Ovis aries: one gene and its partners. The protein of the gene in region 2 purifies or fractionates together with the protein of the main gene of each other region. This does not show direct contact. Links are inferred from orthologs where the notes say so. Each region holds a gene or a part of one and is shown on either strand. Other genes may lie near its edges.

The links.
Region 1: the proteins of KIFAP3 (region 2) and KIF3A purify together in Homo sapiens (co-immunoprecipitation; 9 studies listed by BioGRID and IntAct, counting the BioPlex papers as one, with this or other methods). This does not show direct contact. The link is inferred for Ovis aries from reciprocal best matches to the Homo sapiens genes KIFAP3 and KIF3A.
Region 3: the proteins of KIFAP3 (region 2) and KIF3B purify together in Homo sapiens (co-immunoprecipitation; 7 studies listed by BioGRID and IntAct, counting the BioPlex papers as one, with this or other methods). This does not show direct contact. The link is inferred for Ovis aries from reciprocal best matches to the Homo sapiens genes KIFAP3 and KIF3B.

What each region holds. Positions count from the first base shown.
Region 1 is NC_056058.1:19,390,232-19,393,982, reverse strand, and holds the start of KIF3A (kinesin-like protein KIF3A), read right to left. Parts: upstream 2,452-3,751; coding exon 2,083-2,451; intron 1-2,082. UniProt on the Homo sapiens protein: Microtubule-based anterograde translocator for membranous organelles. Plus end-directed microtubule sliding activity in vitro. Plays a role in primary cilia formation. Plays a role in centriole cohesion and subdistal appendage organization and function.
Region 2 is NC_056065.1:36,965,485-36,969,135, forward strand, and holds part of KIFAP3 (kinesin-associated protein 3), read right to left. Parts: intron 1,214-3,651; coding exon 1,059-1,213; intron 1-1,058. UniProt on the Homo sapiens protein: Involved in tethering the chromosomes to the spindle pole and in chromosome movement. Binds to the tail domain of the KIF3A/KIF3B heterodimer to form a heterotrimeric KIF3 complex and may regulate the membrane binding of this complex.
Region 3 is NC_056066.1:61,436,271-61,439,921, reverse strand, and holds part of KIF3B (kinesin-like protein KIF3B), read right to left. Parts: intron 2,417-3,651; coding exon 2,315-2,416; intron 2,103-2,314; coding exon 1,980-2,102; intron 1,875-1,979; coding exon 1,756-1,874; intron 1-1,755. UniProt on the Homo sapiens protein: Microtubule-based molecular motor that transport intracellular cargos, such as vesicles, organelles and protein complexes. Uses ATP hydrolysis to generate force to bind and move along the microtubule. Plays a role in cilia formation.

The DNA of each region.
Region 1 (3,751 bases), on a different chromosome or scaffold from region 2:
AGTTTAACAGTTAAGTTGAACAGATACTAAATTCCTACTCTTTCAGATACTCTTCTAAGCATCAGAGAAACAAACATGAGCCACTGTCATTCACAAGGAATAGATGATATCAAGTCAACACACTTCTTTCCATCTCTACTTTCACCACCTTATTCCAGGTTATCTTGTCCCGAATTATAAGAAACTCCTAACTGTACTGCTGGGCTTCCTGGTGGCTCAGCGATAAACAATCTGCCTGGCAATTCAGGAGTCTCAGGTTCAATCCCTGGGTTGGGAAGATCCCCTGGAGAAGAAAATGACAACCCATTCCAGTATTCCTGCCTGGGAAATCCCAAGGTCAGAGGAGCCTGGGAGGCTCCAGTCCATTGGGTGGCAAAGAGTTGGACATGACTTAGCAACTAAACACCACCACCAACTGTATTGCTGCATCTAATTAGGTTCCGATATGGTCTGTTCTCTACCTGGCAGTCAGTTTCAACTAATCTAATTAAGTCACTCCCCTACTCAGAATTCTACAATAGTTTCCCACAGATTTTAGGATAAAAGTCAAAATCCTTACAGTGGTCTGTAAGATCTGGTTCTGGCCCATGTCCACTTCTCCAGCTTTATTTCACAAGTTACTCTGCTTGGCTTTCTTTTAGGCCTTTTCTTGTCTTCATGCTTCCTCTCACCACACTCCTTTCCAGGTGCTGTTTCTTATGCCTAAAACATACTCCCCCCTCTTCAATTACTTTGCAGAGCTCAGCTCAACAGCTCCTTCACCTGGGAAGACTTCCCTGACTAGAGTTGACCTAATATAGGTCCTGATAGCACCATTCTTTCTTCTGCACTGGTTACAATTTTACTTTTTTTTTTTTTTTTTTGGCTTCTTATTTTATTACAGTCTGTGTCTGTATCTAACTGAGAAGTTCCAAACAGGTACTCAGTCAAGGGACTAAATTTAGCCCACAAATGTCTTTTGTTTGGCTCCTATTATCTAAAAATCTTTTAAGTCAGTTGCTAAAATTTAAAAATTAGAAATCTCATTAAAAGAACAATCTCTAGATTCTCTGAAAAACAGATAGATATCTGACATTTGTAAGCCAGCATTCCTACATGGCAACATTTAAACAATTCACCAGAGTCTACTTCTTTCTATTGTAGGCCACTGATCCACTTCACTTAGTTAAGCATCCTATCACTATGTGTGGTTTTCACCTCTGCCCTACAGGGCAAGCTTTTCTCTTCCCAAGTTCAAGAACCTGGCTGGTTTTGCTCAATATTGTATCTCCAGTGCCTAGTATGTAGTTGTTGTTGTTTAGTAGCTAAGTCGTGACCCCATGGACTGTAGCCCGCCAGACTCCTTCGTCCATGCGATTTTCCAGGCAAGAATACTGGAGTGGGTTGTCGTTTCCTTCTGCAGGGGAACTTCCCCAACCAGGGACCAAACCAGCTTCTCCTGTATTACCAGGGGGATTCTTTACTACTGAGCCAACAGTGTGGCTGGTGCCCAGTAATAAATTGTTGAATAAATTGATAATTAAATAGAAAGCAACAAGGAACAAATATTAAGCATTTAATGCTAAGAGTCAAGCACTGTCCTTCAAGCCTCCTGCGTATTATCTTATTTCATCCTGATACCCCCATGAGGAAAAGTTTAATTATGCAGGAAAGAAGAACCCAGAAAGATAAATTACCCAGGGCCTCGCAACCGGCCACTTCTCAGCTGTTCTCCATGACCCTATAATGGACTTACGACGCCTGCTTATAACCTGTGAAATCCTACAAGACGCAACATACGACCATCCACCACTCACCCCCTCACGTAAATAACCGGCCACAGTTGGAGGGTTCCCCATGACTGGACTTACGACGCCCCCTTATTAAGTCACACGATAATAATCTGTGAAATCCTACAAGACAAGCATACCATCACCCACCACTCACCCGCCTCACACACAAAGACGCCTACGGATTACATTCTGCACTGTCAGCTGGGGCGCCACGAGAGGAATGACAGCTCGAGTCAGGAGCCTGGAGTAGGGGCAGACAACCCGTGCTCTGCTGCCTTCCAGAGCCCGGCCCCGCGACGCAGAGCCCCACCTGGCATCCAAGAGCCAACCCTCCGCGGCCGCTCCTAGACGCCCTACCCAGAGAACAGGGCTGGGAGCGAGCGCGCATCCTCCGGCACAGCGCCTTTATGTCAAGCACCCCAGGCCTTTCGGGGTTCAGCAGCGACCAAGGTGGCAAGGCCTGCTCCGGGCCCCTCCCGGGGTCGGGTGGACCCCCACATGCCCGGGCCCAACCGCCTGGCTCCCACACCGCTTGGCCCGCCCGGCCCGGCCCGGCCCGGCCCCGCCCCACCCGGGCCGCCAGCCTGCTCCGCGCCTCCATGGTAACGGCCGCGCCACCCGGCCAGGCCGCAGAGATGAGGAGGAGCCCCAGCGGCTGAGTGACTCTCCTTACCGGCATTGCGGCTTCCTCCCGTGCCCCGTGGACGTCCCCGCCCGGGGTGCAGTCCAACAACGCCGGCTTCGCGGGAGAGGCGGATCAGACACTCCTGAAACACCTCCTTGGCGCACCCAAGACTGCGGCTCCTCTGGCGAGAGCTCGCTGTGCGCAGGCGCACTCCGGGCTCGCCCCGCCCCATCCCCGGGCACGAGGCTTCCTCCGCCACTCGGATTACGCCTGCGCCAGAACTTTCCGAGTCCGTCTCCTAGGAAGCCAGGCTGAGGCTGCGCTTGCGCAATGCTGCCATTCCGCTGCCGCTGGAAATCTGACCGGATTTGGAGGTGGGATATCTGGCTACTACGGTTGGGGAAGAAGAGGCACAACGCCGCCCATCTTCTAGCGCTTGCTATGTTCTAAATATTATAAACAACGATAGCAATTGTACATTGTGTTTCCTCAGAAGAGCCACTTTACATACGTTATTGTGCTTGATTGCCAACTTATGACCTGTCTCACCATTAGCTGAGGAACTTTGTCAGTATTCTCAGTTACCTCCAGAGCCTAGAATAGAAGATGGCACAAGGTGGATTTTCAATAAATACTTGTGAAAGAAAGAATGACCTATCTGAACCACTCCCCTGAACACCGCTCTGCTTGGACGTGCAATAATTTCAAGTTTATTATGTCCAAAATTGAACCGTTGATTCGCACTTCCTATCGCCTACTAGTACCTATGCCACACCTGTTAAATATAAACAACTTTAAAAGTCCATCACAATAATGTAAGCTGGATTCTGACCATTGATCAGATTAAATCACAGTCTTTTTCTCTCATACTTAATATCCAATCTTTCTACAGAACTAGAACTAGTTGTCTCTGTCTCAGAAGTAGAACCAGAATCTGACCACTTTGAGCACCACCATCTCTCGCCTGCATTACTAAACAGCTCAGAACTAGTTTCCTTGCAGTGCATCCTTGCCCATCCTAGTCTACTTTCAACACAAGAGGCAGAGTGCTCACCGGTAAAGAATCTGCCTTCCCATACAGGAGATGGAGGTTCTGTCCCTGGGTGGGGAAGATCTCCTGGAGAAGGAAATGGCAACCTACTCCAGTAGTCTTGCCTGGGAAATTCCATGGATAGAAGGGCCTGGCGGCTACAGTGGGTGGGGTTGCAAAAAGTCTGACACGGCTTGGCAACTAAAACAACACTGTCTTCATTCATAACCTGCCAGTGATTTCTCATCTCCCAGCATAAAAGTCACAGGCTCGGATCACAGTCCTTGGTTCCTGCAATCTTCCCTCTTACTCATCATTGCAAGC
Region 2 (3,651 bases):
CAATTCATTCAACAAATACATACTGATCATATAATGTGTGCTATATACTGTATACAAGGCTAACTAATAAAAGTACATATTAGGCACAAGGCATTTTATTTGCTATGGATGGAGAGAAATGACTGCTTAATTTTTTTAAAAGTGCAAATAAATTTTCTCTTTCATTTTTTCTACTTAATACAATCAAAACTGAAGTATAAGCTATGTCAAGGGTACCATATAATAGAACTTAGGAATGAAAAGAAAGATATATGTAAACTTGATAAGTGAAGTGAAGTGAAAGTTGCTCAGTTGTGTCCAACTCTTCGCGACTCCATGGACTGTCCATTAATAAATACTATGAAATGGAATAAGTAACCACTGATTAATCTGAGATAACTTTCCATTTAAATACCTGTACTTTTGTTTTGAGCTTGGACATTGGAAAATGTCTTCTATAAATAATCAATTACTTAGCTCTAAGTTTAATGAATTTATTCTTTTATGAGGCAATTAAAGATAGAAGAATAGTAACAATAGAGATGTTTGGCAATGAAAAGGTAAGTTTTCCTAAGAAAGATTCACAAAACATATGCATACCACAAATATTTTAACACTTAAATACTTTAGTAATCCAAATTATCAATTAATTGTCAATAAGAAATATAGAAAATATAAATAAGTTGCTCGGGTGGAGAAAACAGGTTTCCAGGCCTCAATTCTCTCTTTCTATTATTCCAGAATCAATATGAAAGATATTTGCTTTTTTATTCCTTATTTTATCATATGTGCGCATGCACACACACACACTTGGTACAAAATAGATCATTTTGTAAGCCTGGAATACTAGTATGTTTGTTTATTCTTTCATTCACTTAGTCATAGCACTAACAACAACAAAAAAAAAACCATCACCATTTAAATATCAAAAGTACAAACTACAGTCAAACAACTCTGGTTTTGTTTTTTTTTCATTTTTAAATTAATTTATTTATTTTAATTGGAGGCTAATTACTTACAATATTGAGGTGGTTTTTGCTATGGTTTTGCGTTAAAAATTTAGTTGTTCTTCTACTTACCTTTTCCTGACATTGAATCACGGCGGTTCTGGAGATAGTACAACAGCTGTTCCACTTCATTTAGCTTTGAGGGATGAATGAGTTTACATTCCTCAACCACCTTCCGTGCCAGGGAAGTTATATCTGTGTTGGCATTGAGACTTTTAAGACGGATACTGCAGGCAAATCAGAATTTTCCAACTCAGTTATTATTAAAGTAAGTAACAATTTAAACAGTACTTCTTTTAAATAATTTATAAAATATTTAATGTACCTGACATAGTCTCTTTTAGTAACATGTAATAAAGTATAAGATATAGCTAGACTTAGAAAAAAATGCAAAACAATGATTTTCTTCAAATTGGACAAACGAGATAACAAAAGGAATGGTAAAGTCTACATCTGACTCATCTAGGGAGGATAGCATATCCAGAGACCAGTTATAAAACAGTCTTTCTGATGTCATATACATATATTTATATCATATAAAGTTTTTAATTATTAGATATGAAAATCCATAGTGACAAAAATAAATCATTTTCTTGACCATATTCACAGTCATAGTTTTCAGTTAAGGACAGAATACAATATTAACATATTCAGATTTGATTATTCTGATGGAAATTATGCAGAAGGAAAAAAAAAGTAGGATGCATTTTAAGACTTATATGAGGAATGCTGAGGAACAAATGAATATAGTTATATTTGTCAGTACATTAAAAAAAAAACAAACAGGTTCTTCCTCCTTTTTAATTTAGTCCAGGAAATTCACTGCAAGATGAATAAGAAAAGGTTGTTCAAAATCTGGAAGCAATTGCCAATTTACATGGATTCATGACAACAAAGAAAGCTATAAGGACAAAAAATTAGGTTCAGGGTGAAGACTCAAACTGGTGGCAAGAGATTCTCGCAAGCAGATGCACTCATGCAAGGCTTAGATTCAAAAAGAGAGACAAAAGAAAGGAGCCACAGTGCTGAAATACTTCTTAGTGAAGATCGCTAGTGAAGATGGCTTAGTTAAAAGGCAGAGGAACTGGAGATCAAATTGCCAACATCCGCTGGATCATTGAAAAAGCGAGAGTTCCAGAGAAACATCTACTTCTGCTTTACTGACTATGCTAAAGCCTTTGACTGTTTCTGTGTGTGTGTGTGTGTGTGTGTGTGTGTGTGTGTGGAAAATTCTTCAAGAGATGGGAATACCAGACCACCTGACCTGCCTCCTGAGAAATCTGTATGCAGGTTAAGAAGCAACAGTTAGAACTGGACATGGAACAAGAGACTGGTTCCAAATTGGGAAAAGAGTATGTCAAAGCTGTATACTGTTACCCTGTTTATTTAACTTATATGCAGAGTACATCATGAGAAATGCTAGCCTGGATGAAGCACAAGCTGGAATTAATGTTGCTGGGAGAAATACCAATAACTTCAGATATGCAGATAACACCACAGTTCAGTTCAGTTCAGTTGCTCAGTTGTGTCTGACTCTTTGCGATCTCATGGACTGCAGCATGCCAGGTTTCCCTGTCCATCACCAACTCCCAAAGTTTACTCAAACTCATGTCCATTGAGTCGGTGATGCCATCCAACCATTTCATTTTCTGTCATCCCCTTCTCTTCCTGCTTTCAATCTTTCCCAGCTTCAGGGTCTTTTCAAATGAGTCAGTTCTTTGCATCAGGTGGCCAAAGTATTGGAGTTTCAGCTTTAGCATCAGTCCTTCCAATGAATATTCAGGACTGACACCACACTCATGGCATAAAGAGAAGAAGAACTAAACAGCCTCTTGATGAAAGTGAAAGAGGAGAGTGAAAAAGTTGGTTTAAAACTCAACATTCAGAAAACTAAGATCATGGCATCTGGTTCCATCACTTCATGGGAAATAGATGGGGAAACAATGGAAACAGCGAGAGACTTTATTTTAGGGGGCTCCAAAATTACTACAGATGGTGACTGCAGCCATGAAATTTAAAAATGCTTGCTCCTTGGAAGAAAAGTTATTCCCAACCTAGACAGCATATTAAAAAGCAGAGACATTACTTTGCCAACAAAGGTCCATCTAGTCAAAGCTATGGTTTTCCCAGTAGTCATGTATATATGTGACAATTGGACTATAAAGAAAGCTGAGCACAGAATTGATGCTTTTTAACCGTGGTGTTGGAGAAGACTCTTGACAGTCCCTTGGACAGAAAGGAGATCAAACCAGTCCATCCTAAAGGAAATCAGTCCTGAATATTCATTGGAAAGACTGATGCTAAAGCTGAAACTCCAATACTTCGGCCACCTGATGTGAAAGAACTGACTCATTGGAAAAGACCCTGATGCTGGGAGAGATTGAAGACAGGAGGAGAAGGGGATGACAGAGGATGAGATGGTTGGATGACATCCTTGACTCAATGGACATGAGTTTGAGTAAACTCCGGGAGTTGGTGATGGACAGGGAAGCCTGATGTGCTGCAGTCCATAGGGTCACAAAGAGGTGGACATGACTGAGCGAATGAACTGAAGATGGCTAAGTTTGGGAGAAACTGAAGGTATTAGAGGCAACAGGGACAGAGACCTTAGAAAAAGAGACGACAGGGACAGAGACCTTAGAAAAATGTCCTGCACTCAGCATCT
Region 3 (3,651 bases), on a different chromosome or scaffold from region 2:
AAACATTGGAGCACTCACATTTTCTCATTTCAAAACTTACTACAAAGCTACAGTAAATAAGACGGTTGATACTGGCATAATGACAGACATATAGTTCAACAGAATAGTACCGAAGGTAGAGAAATAAACCTTACAATTACGGTCAACTGACTTTCAACAAGGATGCAAAGACAAAAAGGGAAGACACTTTCAACAAAAGGTGCTGGGGCAACTGAATATCCACATGCAAAAGAATGCATTTGGAACCATACTTCAGACCATGTAAGAAATTAAATGGATCATAGACTAAATGTAAGACCTAAATCTGTAAGACTCTTGGATAACCTAAGAGAACTAAAAATGTTAAGTCCACAATTAAACTTGGACACAAATGTTCATAGCAGCATTATTAACTATAGCTGAAAAGCAGAAACAACCCAAATGTCCATTAACTGATGAATGGATAAATAAAATGTGGAATATTCATATAATATGGGTCAGCTCTACAAAAAGAAGTGCTAACATCCTGCAACATGGATAACTCCTGAAGACATGTTAATCGAAAGAAACCAGTCACAAAGACCACATCCTATATAATTCCGTGTATACGAAAGGCCCAGAATAGGTTAATTTACAGAGTCAGAAAGTAGATCAGTTACTTATAAGGCTGGGGGAGGAGATAATAAGGAGTGACTGACAACCGGCACACGTTTTCTTTGGGTGAGGGCACCCACAAATGTTCTAAAATTAGACTGTAGTGTTGACTTTACAGCCAAGTAAACATATGCATATATATTTAAATGACTTGTGGGGGAGTTCCCTGGTCACCTAATGGTTAGGATTCCTGGCTTTCATTGCTGTGGCCCAGGTTCAATCCTTGGTGAGGGAACAGATTCCCCAAGCTGTGCAGCCACAGTAAAAAAACTGACTTGTATCTTGCATACTTTAAATAAGTGAATTGTACGGTATGTGAATTATATCTCAATAAAGATTTTCTAAAAAAAAAAAAACAACACTGTGGTACATATGTAAGTATGTAGGAATGAGGTAACATGATGTAAGATTTGCTTTCAAGTATTTTTATGAGGATAAAGATCTGTGCTTTCACTGAAGGGGGCATGGGTTCAATCCCTGGTGGGAGAGATAAGATTCTGCAGGCTACATGGTAGAGCCCACCCCCCTAAAAAACCAAAAGCAACCAAACTATGAAAGATGGAGGACAAAAGACTGTTCATCAGAGCATCTTGGGCTTTCCTGGTAGCTCAGCAGTAAAAAATCCACCTGCAATGCAGGAGACTTGGGTTCGATCCCTGGGTCAGGAAGATCCCCTGGAGAAAAAAATGGCAACCCACTCCAGTATTCCTGCCTTCCTGCCTGGGAAATCCCACGGACAGAGGAGCCTGGCAGGCTATAGTCCATGGGATCACAACAGTCAGACATGACTTAGCGATTAAACCACCATCACTGCTGGGCAATGGATATTTGGGTGTTCCTTATACCATTCAGAAAATTCTAATTAATAAAAGATTCCCTTTCATCAATAGATAATGGCTTCAGTAAGGCAGAATGAGAGGAACTTGGAGATCATACGGTGAAGATACTCAGTTAACAGATGGGATGCAGAGACAGAAAATAACTTTCTTAGGAATAAACAGAAGACAGACAAGGCGGCGAGAGATGGAGAGAAGTAAGCAGGGGCCCTGTCTTCTGAGGGGTTTGCTACTTAACAAACAACACAGCAAGCGGCTGGGGTGCCCCGGAAGGCCCAGGACTTACTTGAGTTTCAGCTCCCTGGTGAGCTCATTCTGGGTCTGCTCCAGCTCCTGCCGCTCCTTGATGTGCTCTTCTTGGAGGTCATGGATCTCTGCCTTGACTGCCTGAAGCTTAGAGAACAGCTGGAAACAACAGGAGAGGCGGCTGAGCCGGGCAGCCCTCTGGACAACAGAGTTCACTCTGCCCCACACCTCAAGGAGCCTCTGCCTGCCTCATTCCTTTCCTACCTTTTTGAGTTTCTTGGTCTTGATGTCCACCTCTTGCTGCAATGAGCTGTATGTCTCCTTCAGTTCCAAGGTCTCCTCGTCTCGGCTTTCCATCTGCTGCTGGATTTCTCTTTCTCGACGTTTCTGAGCAATGTCACAAAACTGATCAGTGTGCCTACAGACAACATCTATTCAAGAATATGGGGCTGGGTGCTCTAGATCAGTCTCCCACCAGGAAGGGGCTGACACATGTCCTTCTCATCACCTTTGAAGAGTCTAACAGAAAAGATATTGGCTCTGTAGCACTGACGCACCCCGCCCAACTCCATTCTCTCCCAAAGGGAGTGACAAGTTACCTGTTCTGCAATTTCCTGCCGTTTCTGCTCCAGGATTTTCTGCTGTTCATTTGTATGATCTACTATATTTTTTCCTCCAACAAGCAGCTTACTCTCCATAGCCTTTGTGAGAAAAGAGCAGAATCCAGGTCGTGAGTGGTCTCGCTCGGAACATAGCTCCTCACAGGGAAGCCTGTGAAAGACAAAGAGCTCCGGACCGAGCCAAAGCAGGTAAATTCTTAGGGAAAATATACTGTGCTCAGCTGGGCCTGTCTCATCACTGGGGTGGAGCTTTGGCGGCTTCACTAGGGCTTTATAATGGAAATACTGAAGACACAGCTTCCCTAGACATACATAAATTTCAGCTTTATATTTTAAAGAAAATTTTTGGTTTGTTTGTATGAAGTATTGACCTCAGTTAGAACCTATTAAGCACCTTCTACATGCTAGGTACTGAGGATGCCACTGTGAATATGAGTCAAAAGCTGAGAGTCCACAGAGGGCCACAAGCAGCAGGTTCTTATCAGATGGAACCAGATCTTATCATGAGGAAAGGACAGAGTAATACAGGCAGAGGCACACGGGAAGGAGGGAATTCAGGCTCTTCCCAAAGGCAGTCAGAGAAAAAGCTTCCTGTCTCAAGGGACAGCTACAAAAGTGCTAAAGTAAAAATAGGAAACAGCTAAGGAAAAAAAAAATTGTTTTCAGAGGGTAGGGTAGAGAGTGGTGATACATGAAGTTGGCAAAGCAATCGGGGGTAGTTCAAAAACCTCCAAGCCTTGTATGGGAGACTACGCTTGACCCTGAGAACTGCAGGAACCACTGACGTGTCCTTTGAGCACTAGGATACATAACCAGATCTGTGTTTTAGAAACAAAACTCCCCTGCACAGGAAGAAAAACTGGAAAAGGGCGGGCTGGGTGGAGTGAGAGCAGACAGGAGGCTGTTTTAAGGTTTCAGGCCTGAGCTGGGGCAGGAGAGGTTGGGAGAGCAAAGTGGATGGGTCCGAGAGAGGCAGGATTCAGAGACCGCGGGAGAGAGAGTGGCAGCTGGCAATGATAACTCCTAGGAAGGAGTCTGGCTAGACTGAGGAAAGGCAGGCCGAAGCAGGCTCTGCGTGGCCCTGGGCATCTCCGTGGAAATACCCAGCAGGCAGAGGCTATCAGCTGGGACGTTAGGAGACAGCTTTGGGCTAACCATGCAGACTGAAAACCTTCAGCATTTAGATGAGGGCTGAAGCCAGGGGAATGATTTGCACCTGAGAAGCACGGGCTCCAGAAACTCCACAACCTTGCTTTAAAGAAACTTCTACCCCTGCTGCCATGCTTCTGCCCCTGCGACTTTCCTCTTTTTTCAAA